3 linked regions of the Callithrix jacchus genome follow. The protein of the gene in region 3 purifies or fractionates together with the protein of the main gene of each other region. This does not show direct contact. Links are inferred from orthologs where the notes say so. Each region holds a gene or a part of one and is shown on either strand. Other genes may lie near its edges. The genes, in order: LIG3, CHD1L and APLF.

Region 1 (3,655 bases), on a different chromosome or scaffold from region 3:
CCAAGATCATGCCACTGCACTCCAGCCTGGTGAAAGATTGAGACTCCATCTCAAAAATAATAAAATAAAATAAATAAACTCAGGCTTGGTGTGGTGGCTCATGCTTGTAATCCCAACACTTTAGGAAGTCAAGGTAGGCAGATCACTTGAATCCAGGAGTTAGACACCAATCTGGGCAAAATGGTGAAACCCCTTCTCTACAAAAAATACAAAAATTAGCCAGACATGATGGCACATGACTATAGTCCCAGCTACTTGGGAGGCTGAGGCAGGAGGACTGCTTTACCACAGGAGGTGGAGGTTGCAGTGAGCTGACATTGTACCAGTGCACTCCAGCCTGAGCAACACAGTCACATTTTTTGTCTCAATAAATAAATACTCAAAGAAGCAGAGACCAAAACATATCTGTGTATCACTGCCCATGCTCCTATAGTAACCTGTGTGTATCGCTACAGTAGGAGAAAGCACAGAGTTCAGAGGCTGGTGGATTGTGTGTCTGCCTCACCTTTAGCCTATAGATGAACTCTCATTGGACAGGGTGGTTACTTTCATTTCGCATGCCCAGTGACAAGGACATTACAGATGCTCAGTGACAAGTTGTTAGATAAATGAAAGAAACAGAGTTGGAAGATTCTATTTCAAGCTGTGTATATGGTTCACAAAAACCAAATTAAATATGCAGGACAGTAAATTTTCTAACTAGTCAAATAGAATGGGTTCTCTGGCTTCCTAGGGGCAGACTAAGGGGAGAGGAAGAAAGACGCCAAAGTGCTCTGAGCAAAACTGAATACATAATTTGTGGAGTACAGTGCAAAATGCAAATGCGAGGCCCCTTGTTCAAAATCAATAAGAATTTCAAGACAGCACTACAGTAAAGCATTAATCCAAGCATGGGACCCTGAGCAACTGTACAGCTCACATGCCCAGGAAGGCAGCCATGGCCTTGAGCTCTTGGAGTAAAAGCCTATTCAGGATGCTCATGCCACACCTCCTGCTGAGCCTTTCCGAAGGAAGTCCTGGATGATCTGGGTCTTGGTGTTGTAGCTAGAATTATCAGCCACCATGGCGCACAACTTTCGAAACTCCCGTAGCAGACAGTCCTTATGCCTGGGGTCACATTTGCTTGAAGACAGACTTGTCTTACGGGTGGGGCTTGAGGGGGCTTCCCCAGAGGTGTTGGGTTTGGCTGCTGGAGAAACAACAGAGATGAATTCATTCAGCCTTTCTGGGAAGAAAGACATTCTGCCGGTACTTTAGCTTCATTTACTCTCCCTGAAGAGACCTTTGGGGTAGATGACATCAGACCCATCTTACAGATAAAGAAATGGAGGTCAAATAATTTTCCGAAATCTTACAGCTATTAATTAATGGTAAAGGAACAATGTCCTCCTCAGACCCAAGCAAAGGACCAGACTGATATGCATCTCTTTATGTGAGCACTTCACAAAAGAATAGACTGAAGTCATGCAAGAATGATCAGGACCGGCTGGGCCCAGTGGCTCACACCTAACACTATGGGAGGCAAACACGGGAGGACTGCTTGAGTCCAGGAGTTGGAGACCAGCCTGGGCAACATAGTAAGATCCTGTCTCAATCAATCAATCAAGTGGTCAGAAGGATCTCAGAGCAATTGTAAAGCTCACCTTAGAAAAGCAGGCATAAGAAAGGGGTAAGAAATCAAGGTACACGTTAGTCCATGTGAAATTACCGCTCTCACAGGTTGTCAGAGCTAGAAGAAGCCTTAAAGATTATCTAGTTCGACATTCTTTTACTGATGAGGGGGCTGACGTCTGAGAAGAGCAAATGACTTCCTGGCCCACTTGCTCGTTGAAAGAGCCAGGACAAAGACACTACTAAGAAAGTCACATCCCACAAGTACACTCAACATCCCGACCCTCACTGCTTTAACCTTTCTTTTCTTATTGCCAAAATAAAACCCTGCTCCCCAGGAGCAGTTATTAAAAAATAAATGAATAATTTTTTAAAAAATGTGGTCAAGGGGCAGGGCTTTCCTCCAGACAGTTAAAAATAATTATGCACAACTCATCAATGATTCCCTCTCACCTCCTTGTGACCATTTAAGAAGCAAATTTTATTCTGTAAGCTTATGACACGGTCATTACTAAGCTGGGTGCTGTTGTAAGCTGCTTCTTGTCTGGGCTTTGTAAATTATAAATCCATCCTCATCTCTGACCCGGAATCTAAATACGATTTTAAGGGACAGTCTCCAAAGTGCCAATGTTCAACCAGGTTGCAAGAACTAAAACACCCTGTTTCTCTCAACTCCTCCCAAATTCCATCCCCAACACTAAGGCCCTTCCAGAAATATGCTGTCCTTATTTCACCTGGACTCTTCTATATCTTTGGTCTACCAGCAAACAACAAACCAACCAACCTCAGAATTTTAAAATAATAAAAATCCTGTAGAGCCAGGCACCGTTTTTGCAATGTTATCTCTTATAGACCTCATGAGAACACTATGGGGTAGATGAAGCATGGAGATATGATGGAGCTTAAACAAATAAGTACATAAACTCAAGGAAGCAGAGGGGAAAGTCATCTATATATTGCTGCCTATGCTCCCATAGTATGCTGCACATATCACTATGGTAGGAGAGGCCACTGCTCTTCATAGCCAGAGGCTAAAGAGAGGTGAGGCCTTGCTAAGGGCTCTGAGCTGTCAAGGAGTAGTGCCAGGACCAGAACCCAAGTCTTCTGACCTCAGGTATAGGCTTCTTTCAATCACATAAAGTGTCTTTCAATTTCCAAATGATGGCCAGGCGTGGTGGCTCACACCTATAATCTAAGTACTTTGGAGGCCAATTTGGGCAGATCACCTGAGGTTGGGAGTTCAAGACCAGCCTGACCAACATGGTGAAACCCCGTCTTTATATTAAAAAAATAAATAAAAAATATTAAAAAAAAAAAAGACAAAAAAATTTCCAAATGACTTCTACAATAAGGCCAAGTGGTTTGACTTTATTTTCTTCAACTGAGTCAATCACAAGAACATCTCCAAGCAATAAAAGCAGCAAAAAAGTGCAGTGTAAAAGAGCACAGGTACTGGAGCAAGACTTCTGTGCAAATGCTAACTCCATAATGACCCTGAACTTCAACTTTCTCAGTCATAAAAAAGGGCCTTTCTAAATAAATGTACTCTCTAGGGTTAACTGGAGAACAAATGAAACCACATATGTAAAAGCACCTAGCTCAATGCTGTCTGTTTACATAAGGCCAATAAATGATCCCGATCTTCTCAACTCTCATTTACACCACATGCCCCAGCAAAGTCTTCCTGAATCTCTATGAAATAGCAATTTAATATTTTATATAAAAGAAACCATATATGTGTGTATACACGTGTGTGCATGTATATTATAGTGAAGAGAAGAGGAAACTTAACACTTTATTGCTCATCTATCCTGCCAAGAATATACAAATAATAGCCACAATCCTCCCCTTTAGGAAATGGGATTTGAATCCAGAGCTCACTGATTCCAAAGTATGCAAGCTTCATCCTTGGGCTTTACTGCCTCCTTCAGATAGTAATAGCATATATCAATAACAAATAGCAATATCCTTCAGATCTTGTTTTTCCTTCCTGCTGTGTTCTATGAAGTTGCAGTGTTTTGAACAAATAGTTGTAAGAATCAAG
Region 2 (3,655 bases), on a different chromosome or scaffold from region 3:
AAGTAAACTACTCTGTGTCACACAGCTACCATAAAATCTTAAACTTTTCTGGTTTTGGCCAGGTTTTGGCCAGTAACCTCCCAGCACTTTGGAGGTCAAGGCAGAAAGATAGCTTGGGTTCAGGAGCTTGAGGCAAGCCTGGGCAACAAAATGAGACTGTCTCTACAAATAATAAAAAAATTAGCCACCCATGACAGCACACACCTGTGGTCCCGGCTACTAGGGAGGTTATGGAGGGTAGATCACTGGAGCATGGGAGGTTGAGGCTGCAGCGAGCAGCAACCGTACCCACTGTACTCCAGCCTGGGTGACAGAGCAAGAATCCATCTCAAAAAAATTTAAAAAATTCTAGTTTCAATGGAATCCATCTTCCCTGCCTCACGCACTTGGGACTTTTCACTTACAGTAAGCATTTAAAAAGTATCCTGTTACCAATAGGAACAAGCTTAAAAGAAATCTTCTGTATTTTTAAAGTGATGCTCAACTGTGGTCTCACTACATGAGGGACTCTTTTACCAACTGTGGTCCGCAGCTTGGTTAATGCACACATACTTTTTCTTATGCTGAGCATCTTCCTTTTGCCTCCTCTTCTCCTCGATGATTCTCCTTCTCTTAGCAGCTGCTTCTTGTCTTTTCTTCTGCCTGTCCTCCAGCTCTTCAGGGCTCAGAACCCGCTTCCTTTTGGTAGATCCCTCCACAAGGCCTGGGATGAGAACCTAGAGTAGGAACAAGATCCATCACCAGGGTCAAGAATGTTCCTCCCTACGTTTCATTATCCCCACAGCACACTGTACAGAAGCAACATGCTTAATATTTCAGAGAACACTGCATCTCCACCCACCCACCCTGCATGGTGGGAACTGAAGGCAAAGCACTTGAAGGCACAGTTCATATTACACAGTTCACAGGCAGTGACCAGGATACCCTGCTCTTAACTCAGCCGCAGCACTGACATGGTGGAAACAGTCATTTTGATTCATTTCATTAGGAATAAGTTACTTCAGAAAAGTAACTTTTTTCCTTGACTGAAAGCATACCCTGAAGGATGCCACTTTAGCCATTTTTAATGAAAACCTTTCTGCAATGTATTATATAGTTTTGTTAAGACTATATTTTAATATCATGATTATCTTAGTAATAGCATTTAATGAGCACATATTAACTGCCAAACACTGTGAACATTACATATATCATTTATGATTGATATCCTCTCCTATTGCCATAGGGTCATAATTACCAACAGCAGGATATGGTACTTTAGTATAATATAGGGATGCTTTTAGGGGTGATTTGGATGGACAAGGCTGCTTTCACCTGCACTAAATCGTACAATATATTCTCTCCTTCTTAATGTTTTTCTATGCTGACTTTTTACCATAGTTTTTATACCAGGGTATGGTTAATTATATTAACATTTCAACAAACACATACTTATTTCTTGACAAGTTAACCTACGAGAACAAAATGATGCCAGCATCATTTATGTTTTGTTTTCTTAGAACGAGAGTTTGGAAGAAGATCTTTTAAATAAATTAACAGTTCTTACACTGCCTTTATTTCGGAGTGATCGGCCCTCTTGAGTGGTTTTCTCCAAAAGGGTTTTCTGAAGGTTTACCAGTTGTTCAAATGATTTTCTGTCTTCCTTACTGGGCTCTTTAGAGTAATCTTTCCCTTCAAATAAGTACATATGATTTTCTAACAATATAGAACACAAAGAGAGAAGTGTTAGATACCAAGGAAAAACAGATTAATGCTATTCAAAGCAATAACTAGAGTGGATAAGAAAACAGCCTATATTCTAAATGAGCTAAGACTGGATGAAGGTATTTCGTTTCTCATCCCCCTGACACTAAAGTAAGTAGGTTCTACGTAAGGATCCCATGTGTTTACTCTTCCAAGGGGACAGCATGGCTTAAATCCTTTTGGTTCATCTCTACATGGTTTGTGAATCTCTGGCGGATTCCTCCATTTATTCCTCATTCATTCATTCATTCATTCATTCCCAAGTATTCCTCAGCACAAATCTCAGTGACATTAAGATCATCCAATAAAATCTATACGTTTTATTCCAAATACACTTTTAGTATTCAACTTGGCAAATCTAAGAATCATAAAAATAATCCCTTGGATTTACAATATTCCTTACAGATCTCATCAAGCATCTTCATGATCCTCACCACAATCCTGGTATATAACTAATCCTACTTTGGAAGGGGGAACTGAGGGTTGGGCAGAAATTAAGGGACTCTATAATTCTCACTGGTAATAAATGAAGAGGCAGGATTTTCTGATTCTAAGGCCAGTGTGCTCTTTTCAGTATGTAACTGTGTCTCTAGAAGGGTGGAGAGAAAACGTGCTAGCAAATAATAATTATTGTAATAACAACAGCAGTGAAGATAACAGTGTAATTTTGAATAGCACTGCGTGCTATCAGATCACTTCCACAACTATTATCGTGTCTGATTTTTCCAACTGTGTAAAAGAGTAGAGTAGACATTAACAGGACCCTTCTACAGATGAGAACACAAAGGCTCAAAGAGGCTGAGTGATCTGCCAAGATCATGAATAAAGTGATGAAGGAAAGTCAGGACCAGTCCAGACTAGCAACCACAGACAGGTAAGGTAATGATTCAACAGGGAAGCATATTTAGTAGCACAAGTTACCAAATAATGTATTTTCACATTTCTGAAATCTGCTAAGTATGTTTTCCCTAGAGAGTATGAAAGCAAAACATTTTCATTCTCAAGAGATCAATTGCTTCACACTTGTACCCAAATCTAACCAGCTGTAGTTGTAATTGGCGTTGCTAATTAAATCAGCAGGGGGCTTTCAATGAAGCACTTTATCAACAAGTAAAAGAAAAACAGAGCTGAGAAGTGTCAGATATGATCAACATATGTAGCTTCATACTGCATGTGATTCTCAACTTCCAAACATGCTTTTTAACCCTGGCATTCAAGATAAAGCAACCCTGTTTTTTATCTAATTCTGATGGGGGCCACGTGAATTACCAATCTTTCCTATCCATTTATATTCTTTGTAATCATGCTCCCTATCTTCACTCTGCCACCGCCTGGACCCGTATCTGTATTCTACCAGGACAATCATTTACCACAGAGCGAACTTATACCCATTCTTCAAAGAGAAAATCCCCAAGTTTAATACAACTGGCGAATTTTTCTGGCAGTTGGACTGTCTAAAAAAGTAAAATTATTTTAGGCAGTTGGATTGACTGAGAAATATAATTATCTTTCTGGAAAAGTGTGCGACTTTATTTTGTTCTAGTAAACGTTAGCAAAATAGGCTGAAATTATCTAGATAAGTACAGAAACGAGTGTAAGCGTTGCTACTCAATATAATCAATTGTAACTTAAAAATATGATTACATGCATCTATTTCTTCTCTCACCTGAAACCACCAAGTGACACTTAAAGGGATTTTTAAAAAGATATACAAGGCAACGGTGGATGAAAAAGTTCAATGACCTTTTGGAAAATGAAAAGTGGCTGGAGGAATAATAACAGATTAAGAAGAGCCATGGAAGCAAACACAGGTGCCTAGCCAAGGGCTCATTATGAGTCTAGAGACCCTCTCAATCCCCCAAGAGCTTAGGGCTTACAAGTGCAGCATACTGCACGGGGCAGAACTGAGAAA
Region 3 (3,655 bases):
TCTTAGTTTATAAAAAGATTACCTGAATCCAAAGACTTTTCTATCTTATTTTGAAGCTTTAGCATTTTAAGTACGTTGTACACATGTAATATTCCAGACCAAGGTCAAATTACTCTCATTATGTATTTTCAAAGTGAAGTGCCCAAAAAGATGCTTCATATTTTATATGGAACATCTATCAAGTGAAAGAAAATGTATCTGAAACAAAATACATGTTGAACTACTATAAGTGGTAGCACAGAAGCAGTTGCAGTGTAAAACAACTCGGAAAGAAAAGGAGTTGTTTGCAGAGACCAGGTCACATTGGTCCAATTTTTGGTCAAGTCTTTCTTTTATCAGAGAAACTGTCCTACTGAGGGAAAGTGCCTGCACCTCCCCACTATCATTCCCCACATCCTTCCTACAAATTGAGGATCAACACATACAGCCAGAGATGTTACTGATAAAAATACATATATATATTAAACATGAATTGTGGGGGTGGGGAGAACTGAAAACAACTGTACTTGAATAAAACTTACTGCAAATCTCCAGATTAAACCACGTCCCCTTTAACACATAACGTATACTATACTTTTCCCATGAGAACACTTTGATCCTAGTATAATCCAAACTAGCGTTAAATAAGATAAATTCTGTGAATAAAATATTTAATCCGAAATGTTAGAAGAATTCTATGACCACTATGCAAAATACACAAAGCACCAAGAGTATAACTTTCCAACTAAAATGTGTATTCATTTGTGCTGTTAATTTTTTTAAAATAATGTTTAAGGTAAAATGGCAAAATAGCATAACTAAACTAATTACTGCAAATAAAATCATTATAAATTCAGGATAAAAAAATATTTAAACTATCTGTAGGCACTGGAGATTGACCAAAGAGGCAGAGTTGAAGAAGCGTCGATGATGAAATTAACTATAACCTATGAGGTTTGTGAACTTGTGACTTTTTTCCTGAGGGCATTCTCCAATTCACTTGTGGCAGAAACCTTACTGGTTTAAATGGTCAGAGCAGAGAGTTTAAGGCTAGAAGAGAGAGAGAGGGGTGAGGGATAAAATCCTGGAGGGAAGGCAGCCTCAGAAGGGGCAAGAGCAAAAAACCTACCTATAAACTTGACCCAAATTCTTGGTTGACTGCTAGACTACATTTGCATGGGGCCAACCCCAGTGACTCAGAGAAAAATGCAGCAGCTAGAAAGTGAAAGAACTACATAGAGACTGCAGCTGTCATCCATAACAGGTGAAACAGTGTAGACTCTGAATCCAGCCAAATTAATTGCTATTACAACAAAAATACTTCTTCTGAGGAATATAACATAATTAAGAGCAATGTATCATCCACAATATCCAATATCGACAGAAAATCACAAGGCACAGAATACACAGGAAATGTGACCCCTATAAAAAACAAGCAGTCAATAAAAAATAAGTCTGAAATGACAAAGTTGTGCACAGATGCAGACTTTAATGCAGCTATTATAAATATGATCAAAGACTTCCAGAAAAATATACAAAAGATTGAATAAATAGAGAATCTTATCAGAGAAACATAAACTATACAAAAAAAACCCAAATAGGAATTTTAGAACTAAAAAGTACAGTAACTAAAATTAATAATTTGCTAAATAGACTTAACAGCAAATTAGAGATGGCAGAAAAAACAATCAGTAAACTTGAAGGTATATCAATTCATCTGGCATTTTTAAACATTAATTTTAAACATTCTTCTTGTGCTGGCCTTTTATCCCAGACATAGCACCAAGAGGTTTCTTTGAAAGTCTTTATTAATATAATTCTAGCACATAATAGCACTTGTTAAATGAAAACAAGTGTTTTAATAAATAGTATAAATGGTATTTGATAAATGGTAATAGCTTATGTTTTAAATTAGACTTCATGTTCACATCTAAAAAACACTAGGCTAAGCTATACACTTATAAAACTCTATCGCTATAGAGACAGTTCATAGATTTTCTTCAGAAAAACTTTCAAATTCTGTTTAATATTTTCTTGAAAGGCAGCATTAGTAGAAACAAAAACCTACCTCCACTGATTGCTGGTACTGAAAGGTTTTGATCACTTAAATGTTCTGCTAACATCCAAGCTGGAAGGATTCTTTTCCTCTCAGCAAGGACTGGCTGCTGCTTACTGAAGTCTCTACATTCACCTAGGAAAGACTAAAAAGACACCTATAAATTACTAAAAATAATCATACATCCTTAATGAATTTGTAAAATATTTGGTTTACCGAATGCTACCATTAAAACACCCATATGCAACTGTATACTGAGTTCATCAAATTTCTTAAAGAAATTAATTATTTCTATTAAATGCTGGACTACTGCCATATTCTCTAGAGCTTAACTTAAAATCAGCAAAAGTTGATAAATGCTAGCAATACTGTCATAATAGATCTAATTTCAGTTGTCTTTTCTGCCTTTATAATAACTTGAAGAACATGTTATCAATGAATGAGATCTCAAATTTCTCACCACACTATTTGTGGTAGTCATCTGGGTCCTGGCTATTTCTGCACTTCCTTCCAGTTGTGAGGCACCAGTAGTCTCATGAGATAAATTAATAACAGGGGATTTTGGTGTTTCATTCAATACATTATCTTCATCAAGCATTTGACTGTTTCTATAAGATAAAATAGAAACTTGTCTTAAATTTTAATACATTTCTGCTGCTTTCAGACTACATCTGAGTTACATCCCTTTTCTCAGACTTAGCAAAAACAAAAAAAAGCAGATTATAGTATACTAGAATCAAAGATATAGACTACAGTATGTTCTTTATTTCCTACCTGCTAGCCATGAAATTCATCAATCTTTCCAAATCATGGGTCTAGAAACCCCAATTACTTATGAGATGTGTGGCAGCCTTCTCTCTCAAGGCTTACAAGCTCTTTATTTGATATTTGTGCAGATAGTCCATAAAAATTAAGACCACCATCCAGCCTTCAGAGAGATCATGTAAACTGCAATGGTGTCAGTTAAGCTAGTTAGACTCTTAGAGAAAAAAATAAATAAAATCCTGAGTTTCAGTTGACACACAGCTGCTACCGAAGTTCAGGCAAGTATTAATAGGGCTACTTATGAAGTATCCCCAAACTGCAGTATAGCTACAAGCCAAATGTTCTGGCACAGGAACATCCATGGTCACATGTGGGACATACTAGGAGAACCAATTACCTCATACTCTCTGCAATATGCAGTAAGGTCATCCAAAGTTGTTGGGTCATTATTATTTATGTGGTATGCATAGACATGATCCAACAAATTTGCCTTTTTGAAAATTTGAAACTATAGACGAACTACTACTCAGAAATAACAAGGAATGAACTATTGATGTGTGTATGAATGCATATGCACCCCAAAGGCATTTTGCTAAGTGAAAGAAGCCAGACACAAAAGACATATTGTATTACTCCATTTATATAACATCCTGAAATGCAAAGCTACAAGGACAGAAACCATATTAATGGTTGCCAGGGATTTGTAGTGGAATGAAGGGACACACTACAGAGAGCCATGAGAGAATATGTGGGGAAATGGAAATGTTCTATATCTCACTCTGGTAGTATTTTAAATGACTATATTATCATTTTTAGTGTATTGAATTGCACTTTCAAAAGGGTTGAATTCTACTG

The links.
Region 1: the proteins of APLF (region 3) and LIG3 purify together in Homo sapiens (affinity purification with mass spectrometry; 3 studies listed by BioGRID and IntAct, counting the BioPlex papers as one, with this or other methods). This does not show direct contact. The link is inferred for Callithrix jacchus from reciprocal best matches to the Homo sapiens genes APLF and LIG3.
Region 2: the proteins of APLF (region 3) and CHD1L purify together in Homo sapiens (affinity purification with mass spectrometry; 4 studies listed by BioGRID and IntAct, counting the BioPlex papers as one, with this or other methods). This does not show direct contact. The link is inferred for Callithrix jacchus from reciprocal best matches to the Homo sapiens genes APLF and CHD1L.

Annotation. Positions count from the first base shown.
Region 1 is NC_133506.1:99,179,050-99,182,704, forward strand, and holds part of LIG3 (DNA ligase 3), read right to left. Parts: intron 1,190-3,655; coding exon 989-1,189; intron 1-988. UniProt on the Homo sapiens protein: Isoform 3 functions as a heterodimer with DNA-repair protein XRCC1 in the nucleus and can correct defective DNA strand-break repair and sister chromatid exchange following treatment with ionizing radiation and alkylating agents.
Region 2 is NC_133519.1:7,397,152-7,400,806, reverse strand, and holds part of CHD1L (chromodomain-helicase-DNA-binding protein 1-like), read right to left. Parts: intron 1,696-3,655; coding exon 1,547-1,695; intron 717-1,546; coding exon 553-716; intron 1-552. UniProt on the Homo sapiens protein: ATP-dependent chromatin remodeler that mediates chromatin-remodeling following DNA damage.
Region 3 is NC_133515.1:45,393,523-45,397,177, forward strand, and holds part of APLF (aprataxin and PNK-like factor), read right to left. Parts: intron 2,644-3,655; coding exon 2,496-2,643; intron 2,181-2,495; coding exon 2,048-2,180; intron 1-2,047. UniProt on the Homo sapiens protein: Histone chaperone involved in single-strand and double-strand DNA break repair.